2 linked regions of the Ovis aries genome follow. The protein of the gene in region 2 interacts with the protein of the main gene of each other region in a pairwise test. Links are inferred from orthologs where the notes say so. Each region holds a gene or a part of one and is shown on either strand. Other genes may lie near its edges. The genes, in order: SYNJ2 and ITSN2.

What was found.
Region 1: the proteins of ITSN2 (region 2) and SYNJ2 interact in a two-hybrid assay, tested with the Homo sapiens proteins (2 studies listed by BioGRID and IntAct). The link is inferred for Ovis aries from reciprocal best matches to the Homo sapiens genes ITSN2 and SYNJ2.

Annotation. Positions count from the first base shown.
Region 1 is NC_056061.1:82,289,926-82,294,268, reverse strand, and holds the start of SYNJ2 (synaptojanin-2), read right to left. Parts: upstream 2,894-4,343; 5' UTR 2,837-2,893; coding exon 2,710-2,836; intron 1-2,709. UniProt on the Homo sapiens protein: Inositol 5-phosphatase which may be involved in distinct membrane trafficking and signal transduction pathways. May mediate the inhibitory effect of Rac1 on endocytosis.
Region 2 is NC_056056.1:31,934,595-31,939,173, reverse strand, and holds the start of ITSN2 (intersectin-2), read left to right. Parts: upstream 1-1,721; 5' UTR 1,722-1,946; exon of another isoform or gene 1,947-2,255; intron 2,256-2,359; exon of another isoform or gene 2,360-2,403; intron 2,404-2,512; exon of another isoform or gene 2,513-2,737; intron 2,738-4,579.

The sequences.
Region 1 (4,343 bases), on a different chromosome or scaffold from region 2:
CTCGATAGACGGGAGTTGGTGATGGACAGGGAGGCCTGGAGTGCTGCAAATCATGGGGTCGCAAAGAGTCGGACACAACTGAGAGACTGAACTGAATGTAAGAAAAGGTCTTCCCTGGTGGCTCAGACAGTGAAGAATCTGCCTGCAATGTAGGAGAACTGGGTTTGATCCCTGGGTGGGGAAGATCCCCTGGAGAAGGGAATGGCAACCCACTCCAGTATTCTTGCCTGGAGAATTCCAGGGACAGAGGAGCCTGGCAGATTACAGTCCACGGGGTCACAGAGAATCGGACACGACTGAGTGACTAACACAAAAAAGACTTCAAAAATTAAGCATTCAGGCCAAAGTCCACTGAAAAATGGATGCCAGGTTAGGTGACAAATGTGGGCTACACGTGAGCTGAGGCCACACCCCTTCCTTTCACTACTTCCTGTTTCAGAATCCAGAGAATTGTAACCACCAGCATAATATACATGATTTCAGCCCAAAAGCCTAATTTCCAAATGGAAAATATGCATTATACCACTTTCATCAATCATTTTAAAATCTTCGCTTTTGAAAAAATAAAGTCTTTTTTATCCTAGTGGCTTCAACAATGCACTAAGTCACTTCAGTCATGTCCAACTCTTTGTGACACTATGAACCATAGCCCACCGGGCTCCTTTTGTCCGTGGGATTTTCTAGGCAAAAATACTGGAGTGGGTTGCCATTTCCTTCTCCAGGAGATCTTCCCAACCCAGGTATTGAACCCCAACCTCTTACATCTCCTGGACTGGCAGGCGGTTTTTTACCTCTAGTGCCACCTGGGAAGCCCAGTGGCTTCAAAGGAACTCTTAAATAATTTAATACAGGAACTCTCTTAAGGTTGCTGTAATCCAACCGACAAATATTTTACTCTCTTTGATGAAGCGGTAGTTTTGTACCATGCAATTAATCTCTCAGCTCTGACAAATGTGGTATGAAGTAGACATTTAAAATGGAATGGAAATTTCTGTAATTTTTTTTTTCCCCCAGACCTTAGCAAATGACCAAACTTGGACTTTTCAGGCTAGAGTACAAATTGAAATAATCTGATAACAATTTAATCCACGATTTACTGCACAGCTTATGGTGCTGACACTACTGGAGACATGGTTTTAGTAACCGAGTGACTGGAAACAAGCCAGATAACCGTATGTTAATAAAATGATTAAGGAAGTGGAAACAGAAGAGATGGTCCTTCCAAGATGTATACTGAAGAATTTAACTGAAGAATGTAGTGCACAATGTGAAAAAAAGACTAGAGTCAATTATAAAGTGTGGTGGGGGTAAGTGCACTGGTTATCCTCCTAAAGGAGTAGAGACCCTCCTCTCCGCTCTGTGTTTAGCTACCAACAAGGGAGACGGTGCCACTGGACAAGAGACGTAAGCCTGTTCTCCAGTGTTCAGGTCGAAGTTCCAACAATCCTTCCTTCTTTCGCTCATGTCGGTATTATCTGGCCTTCCTCGTGAATGTTAAGACACCAAACAAGAAGCCCAATGGCTGGTGATTCCAAGAAGCCACACTCTGTACACCAATACAGAAACAGCCACTGGAAGTCAGGGAGTGCTATCTGTCACCCTGGCCAAGCAAGTTTCTTATCCTCTCCAGGCCTCAGATTACTTCTCTATAATATGGACACTATAATAGCCCAGAACTGTGAAAATTAAATGAGATCGTCTCTAAAGCCCTTGACACAATGTCAGGGTCAAGACTTGCTGGTCTTGACAGAGTTGAAATACACAGACTTGGCAACTACCTAAGGTCAAATCCAGGCTTCCCTGGTGGCTCAGCGGTAAAGAATCTGCCTGCAATGGGGAGACAAGCATAATATCCCTGGGTTAGGACGATTCCCCTGGAGAAGCAAATGGCAACCCACTCTATTACTCTTGCCTGGGAATTTCCATGGACAGAGGAGCCTGGTGGGCTATAGTCCAAGGGGTCACAAGGAGTCGGACACGACCGAGTAAACAGCAACACCAAAATCAAATACAGCCAGTACAGAGTCATCCAGTCGCGTATTTGCCTCCAAATTCTATACTTTGTGGGAATGACGCTTCTCAACCAAGCAGTTGGTTGAGGCCAAGGTGCCATCAGCTGTTTATCCGGCGTCTGGGTTAACGGTGCTTTGTCCCCATCCCCTCCAAGAGCGAAGGAGGCCATCCCAGAGCAGTGGGCATTCCGTGTTTCATCAACAGGTGCCAAAGAGAAACAGCGCCAAGCGCTCGGTCAGGCCGGCTCCTAAGTCAACCCTCCCGGATGGTCACGAATCTGGAACGCGTCCCGGGGGAGCGCGGGGCAGAAGAATCCAGAGGCGGCTCTTCGCGAGTGACCCGCCCGCCGGCAGGCGCGCGGATGGCAGACCCCAAGGGGGGACCGCGGGCAGCCTGGGTCCGGGGGCGCAGCCGCACGTGCTCTGAGGCGTGCCGGCGCCACTTCATTCAAACAGGCCCTTACCGGCCACCCCGCGCGTGCGACCCCCAGTCCTCGGCCGCCTCCGCGCCCCCGGGACCGCTCTACGCGGGGAAGGGAGGTGCCCGTATGCCTCGGTCTCAGCAGAAGAGGCAGGCGCCCTCCCCAGCGGGCACCTCCCCCCCGGGGAAGGGGACGGGGGAAGCGGCCCGAGCCCCCCGCGCCGCTGCGGAGTCGCCTGCCCGGGAGTCCCGGGCAGCACCGCCTGCCGCACTCACCGAGCGTGGCCACCGTGCCGGCCTCGAAGAGCAGGCAGTCCCTGCGGCCGCGCGCCTCCAGCAGGACGCTGCTTTCCCCGGAGGCCTCCAGCCGCCGGAGCAGCCGCAGCGCCTTGCTCAGAGCCATCGGCGCGCGGCCCGGCGCGGCTCCCCGAGCGCCCGCAACTTCCAGGAGTTTCACTTTGCGTCCCCGCCGCGGGCCAGGCGCAGGCTCCTCCCTGCCGGTTCCGCGGCCTCCGACCGGCCCGCCTCCGCCGCGCCCGCGCGCGCCGCCCCGGGCAGGTGAGGGCGCGCGGCCGCCTCCCCGCCGCCCGGTCCGCTCCGCCGATGCGCCGCGCTCCCCCCAGCGGCCGGGCCGCGGCTGGGTGGGTGGGTAGGGGGCGAGCTTCGGGCAAGATCGGGGGCCTGATGGGGGCCGGGAGCGGAGGGGAAGTGCTCCCGCGGTGGGCGGCAGCCGAGGAGGAAGATTCCACACATTCCTGGACGCGGAGGAGGCTGCCGTCGGCGGGGCGCCCTGAAGCTCCTGCAACGTTACTGGACGCCCCGCGGCCTTATATGGGCCCGCCGGGGCCTGGCCGGCGCCACTAGGCTAGAAACTGCCCGGCCCGGGACCTCCGCAGCACTCCGGAGTCCTCCCCAGCCCCGTCCAGGGCGCTGTGCCTCCCTCTCTGGCCTGCTTCTGCGACCTTGGGCGAGTCGCCTGTCCTCTGTGACTCAGTGGCCCTAAAATGTAAAGCGGGATTAGGAAGTGTACTTGCTTCATAACGTTGCAGGGGAGGATGGAGTTAATCCGTACAAAGGGCTTGGTGCACGCCTGAGGAGCGGAAAGTGCTCCATCCATGGTGCCTTTTACTACCTTTCTGTTCAGAGGATCCTGCGGCCCACTGTCCACACCAGGCAGAATTTGGGTAGCCAGGAGTCAAAGGTGGGTTATCTCTGAGACACTGAGCCCCTCATCTCTGGACCTGCCGCTTACCGTGGGACCTTGACTTCTCTGAACCTGCTTTTCTCTCTTATCAGATGGTGAGAGTACCTGCCCCAGAGGCTTGCAGGATGGGCGTGGAGTCATCATTCAGAGGAGCTGAACACTCTGGGAGTGACAAGCAGGGCAAACTGTGAGGTGCTGATGGTTGCAGGAGTGAGAGTGAAGGGCCTTTTCCCTCCGCCTTGCAACCCCTCCTCCCACTCTGCTGAGTGTACCGCCCTTGACTTCATGGCGGATACTTCAATCAGCCAGAATGTACGCAGGCATATGGACACCAGCATGTATCCGTGCATCCCCCATTAGGACACATGGCCCATCTAGAATGACTGGCAGCTAAGGAACAGGAAGTATGCCCCTCTTGGCACTGGGTTTTTAGCCCGGGTGTTGGGACTGGTCTGCAGGGGAGAGGAGTCCAGGGGAGAGGGCTTACCTGGAGTCATCCTTTGGGTGGGTTTGGGGGTTTCATTTCCTTTTTCTATAGTAGGTGTGTGTACATCGGCTCCAGACCTCATCCGGGTGTTCTCATCGGACCCCGAATCCAGGTGATTCCTCTCTCACCCCTATTCTGCTCACACGGAGAAAGAAGCCTGTGGGTCAAGTAGTTTATATATCAGGCATGTTCCAGAAGAAGTAAGGTGCCCAGTGCCAA
Region 2 (4,579 bases):
TGGTGATGTCCGTCATGGGAATAAGACCATGTGCTCAAGAGTGCTGTCTGTAGCTTGGGTGGTTTGTTTGCAGACTGATTGGTCCCCAGCAGATACAGGATAGACTGACTGGTCTCTAGTAGATAAATGACTTCCTAGGCTAACGCAAGGAAGTCAGGTTTTTCTGTGTCACTGACTCAGGACCTGTCTATCAAGTCTAAGTCAGGTCCAAATCAAAGAGTTAGGAAAAACATCGAATGTGAGAGCGGGAAAAGCCTGTTTATCATTACTGATGTTTGCTAAGTTCCTCACAGGAGTTGCCTGTCTAGTTCAGATAGGCCTGGTCTCCGGAGTCACACCTCTTAAGTCCGCTGGCTACATTTACATGCCCCAACGTGTAAGAATGAAAGGAAGACATGGGATCTTTTGCTCTGCACAGATTTCTCCTTTCCCAACAAGTCATGGTGTATGAATTTTGTACATGGGTCCATCCTACACTCCACGTGTAAAGCCAACAAAAATCTTGGGTCTTGAACCCCGACTTTGTTATGCCCATAGGAACCACCGATGCCACCTCTAACCTCAAATAACAAAAAGCCTTTCTCTTTAAGGAGTGCTGTGTCAAGGGCAAGCCCCCCATAAATGGTGGTGACTTGAGTTATTTAGTCTTTTGTGAAGAGACTAGGAGCTGAAAGGGGAGAAAAAACAGATGCTGAATTTGAGCTTCACCTGTCAGGCGGCTCTCAGGTGGGGAAGAAAGTTCAGCAAGGGGGTGGGGGGCCGCAGGTCGTGGAATTCACTGAGAGATGACTATCTTCTTACTGCTTGGCCAGAGTATTCGAGGTAGATGCCCTGCGTGTGGATGGGGGCTGGAAGGCTCCTTTCTTTTCCTTTTTTATTTGTTATAGTGAGGGACGCTGAATGGACGACTGTTGCTGCTGCCGCTGCTAAGTCACTTAAGTCGTGTCCGGCTCTGTGCGACCCCATAGATGGCAGCCCACCAGGCTCCCCTCATCCCTGGGATTCTCCAGGCAAGAACACTGGAGTGGGTTGCCATTTCCTTCTTCAATGCATAAAAGTGAAAAGTGAAAGTGAAGTCACTCAGTCGTATCCGACTCTTACGACCCCATGGACTGCAGCCTACCAGGCTCCTCCGTCCACAGGATTTTCCAGGCAAGAGTACTGGAGTGGGGTGCCATTGCCTTCTCCGGGACGACTGTTAGGTACGACGAAAGTGAGTCCTTCTGGGGTATTTGAAGGAAAGGCCCGTAACACACCCATGAGCAAAGGTGGGAATAACCTATGCCCGCCCCATCCCCATTCCAGGGGACTTGAGCTCCCAGGTGAGAGGGCTCCAGGGAGAACCCCACAGGGACTTGGGGTGGGGCGCCTGCATCAGGGACGTGCTGGACACCCCTTGCCCCTCTTCCGAAACCTTGGGGTCTGCGGTGGCAGGAAACGCATCACCCAACCCCAACATGTCACCTCGGGGAGGAGGAGCCAGGTGGGTCGGCACCCCTCCAGGAAGGGCTGCCGGGTCCAGGGCTTCAGGGCCTCCCCGAGGGAAGAGACGAGCATGTGGACCAGGCCCGCGGGGTCCGCGGCCTCGGGACTTCGGGGGTGATGAGCCGCACCCGGGCCAATTTCGGGTTCCCAAGGGAGTACGAGTCGGTGCCCGCCAGCGGGCGGGCGGGCCGTCAACTGCCCGGCCCGTCGCCTCCCTCCCCGCCCCCCGGCTTCCTGCGGAGGCCGTGGCCGCCATGTTGTGGGGCTGAGGCGGCGCCGCGGAGCCCGAGCGGCCGTGACAGGCTGCGCAACAGGTTCGCTGTCGGCGGCCTGACGACGAAGCAGGCGCGGCGGCGGCGGCTGCCGAGCAGGTCTCCCGGCATCCGCCCGCGCCCGCGCCGCTGGTGCCGAGGGGCGCAGGGTCGCGCTGTGACGTGCGGGAGGCGCGGCGGGCGCGCCAGGTGGGTGAAGCGGCTGCCCGGGCTGCGGCAGGGCGCGGGGCAGGTGCGGGCGCTACCGCGTCCGCCGCGGGGAGGCTCGCGGGTCGGGCTGGGAGGCGGCTGCGCGCCCCGCATGACGCGGAAGGGCCCTCGGGAGCCCCGGAGGCCCCCGAACTAGGCCCCTGGCAGTCTTGGCGGCGCCGGGCGGAAACCTCCGGCCCCGGGTTCCTGCCCCCGCGGCGCGGCCAGGGCGGACAGCCAGGAGCCGGGGCCGGGCTGCCTCTTCCCCGCGGCCAAACCCTGGACCCCGGCCGCGGCCTCTTCTGGCAGGTGCGGACGCGGCGGCGGGCCCCCTCGCTTTCGGGGTGTGGGCAGAAGCGAGCCAGCCCTGAGGTGCACCCGCCCGCTTCCTCGGGGCCCCATTTTATTTTCACAGAGTTGGTTTTCCTCCTTGGCAATGGTTGGTGCGGAATGTCAGGTGAGCCGCATCCCAGTGCGTCAAAGTAGCCCGAGTCACGAGAGGCCAGTGGGCGGATGCTCTGAGTCTGCCGCTCTCATTAAACCAAAGTTGGGAAATGTTACAATTTGAGTTCAGCGTTATTGACTTCTAGGGTATACAGGAAGCACGGAGAGCTGTAATCTCTTGGACCAGAGTAAAAGTTGATTGCTTTTATAATTCTTTTTGAAGACGCCTGCATGTGTATAGTGAATGGGTAAACCGAGGCTGAAATGCAGATGGCTGTGCATTTTGTAAAAAGATGATGTATTTGGATTTATTAATCCTGTGCGTTATAGTCGAGTGATTGCTGATGGCAAGTATGCTTCACTTGAGACTTGTATTAATTAGGAATATTTTTGATATAATACTTTGTGATAGGAATTAAACTTAACACAAAAATGTTTGCTTTGCTAAATGCACTAGTTTGTTTTTGCTAGGGTTTACTTGCTTACCCAGAAATAGGCGAATGTGCCTTGAAATTTTGTGTTGTCCTAGTCAGCTTGATTTAGGTAGCATAGACTCCAGGTTAAGCTTCTTAAGCCTCTTAAGAAAAGTAATTGCCTCTCTGCCTGTGCTGCTTTGCTATGTTGTTAATCAGTGGTAAAACCTAAATACAATCTAGAAACATCACGCAAACCCCTTACATAAATTAATAATGACGTCTCTCAAAATTTAAAGATAGTAGCAATTTTGATGTGCTAGGTTTCTTTGGCTGTGCCTACGATTCCCTTGTAATTTATTTCCTCCAGCTTTATTGAGATATGCTTGGCATATATTCCTTATTACTTCAAAAGTAGGTAAGGTGAAAGTTATTTCTAAAAGCTTCATTTAAGGACAAACAGAATTTTGTGTTTTTTTTGGAGGCCATGGAAAAAAATGTGCATGGCTGCTGATTTAATGTAGTAGTAATGAGCCTCACGAAAGCTTGCATTTTTTAAAATACTTTAATGCATGTAATTGTTTTTTTGCTTACCTTTATAACAAGAAATTGTTTGAGAAAACTTGACCTGTACTGAATTATTGAGGAGGGAGGTACTGTTGTTAGTTCAGCATATCTCATGGCTAAAATCCAGATCTCACTAGAATATGAGAAAATGTGTTATACAATTGCTGGGAATAGAATTATAGTTTTTAAAAATTTTGTATTTTCACGAAATCTGAATAGTAAAAGGAACTTCTATACATCCATCACCCAAACTCAGCAGCTTTCAAGACCTTCTTTGCCCATCTCTTTCTTCCTTTATTTTTTTCACTCTATAGACTTACCGTATCTCTTTTTTAAAGTGTAAATTTTCTTACATAACCTTAAGGTTTTTATCTTTAATGCAGAGTTTCAAAATTTCTATCTAGTAAGACAAAAAGACCATTTATTGGGTATCTACTTCAGCTACTTTCCTCAGTATTAAAATATATTTACCATTTTTGTCATTTATTGAACACTTACTGCCTCCCAGGCTCTGTGTTGTGTTATATAATCATTTAGGCTCACAGAGATCCAATGAGTAGTTCTTTCCCACCCATCAAATAGATAAGTGAAATGTTAACCTAGAGGTTAACAGAGCTTCTTTAGGTTAACTGAGTTACTCTAGGTCACTGAGCTAGTAAGCCAGGTTTCAAACCAAGATTCTTCTAACTTCAGCACCTGTTCCTTAACTGGTACATTCATCTTGGTCCAGAAATTTAAACAAAAGGTTATTTGGGCATTCAGTATTTGTTGAGTAAATGAATGAAAGTTTTGATACGTATTATTCCATCAATAAGTAGCATTTTTATGTACTATATTTACTTGTAAAGCATTAACAAGTTCCAGAAATGATTCAGAATAAGCTAATTACCTTACTCAAAATATGGTGGTATCTTATTACCATACAACAGTGCGTGTGCCTGTTTTTCTTTTTTTATATTCTGGTATTTTCAGTACCTTATTTATGGAAAAATGTATGGAATAACTATTAATATTTATGAAGAAAGGCTAAAAATAGGCAGACATTTTTGTGTGCCAATTGTTAAAGGCTGGATTCCAAGTGTGAAGTATAAAAATAATGTTTAGGATTAGTTCTGTAAAAGAATAGTCCTATAGATGAAGCTGCATCAGAAACGCTGTATTTTTTACTTGAGTTTATTTTTTACTTTTTACCATTCTCTACCTACAGAA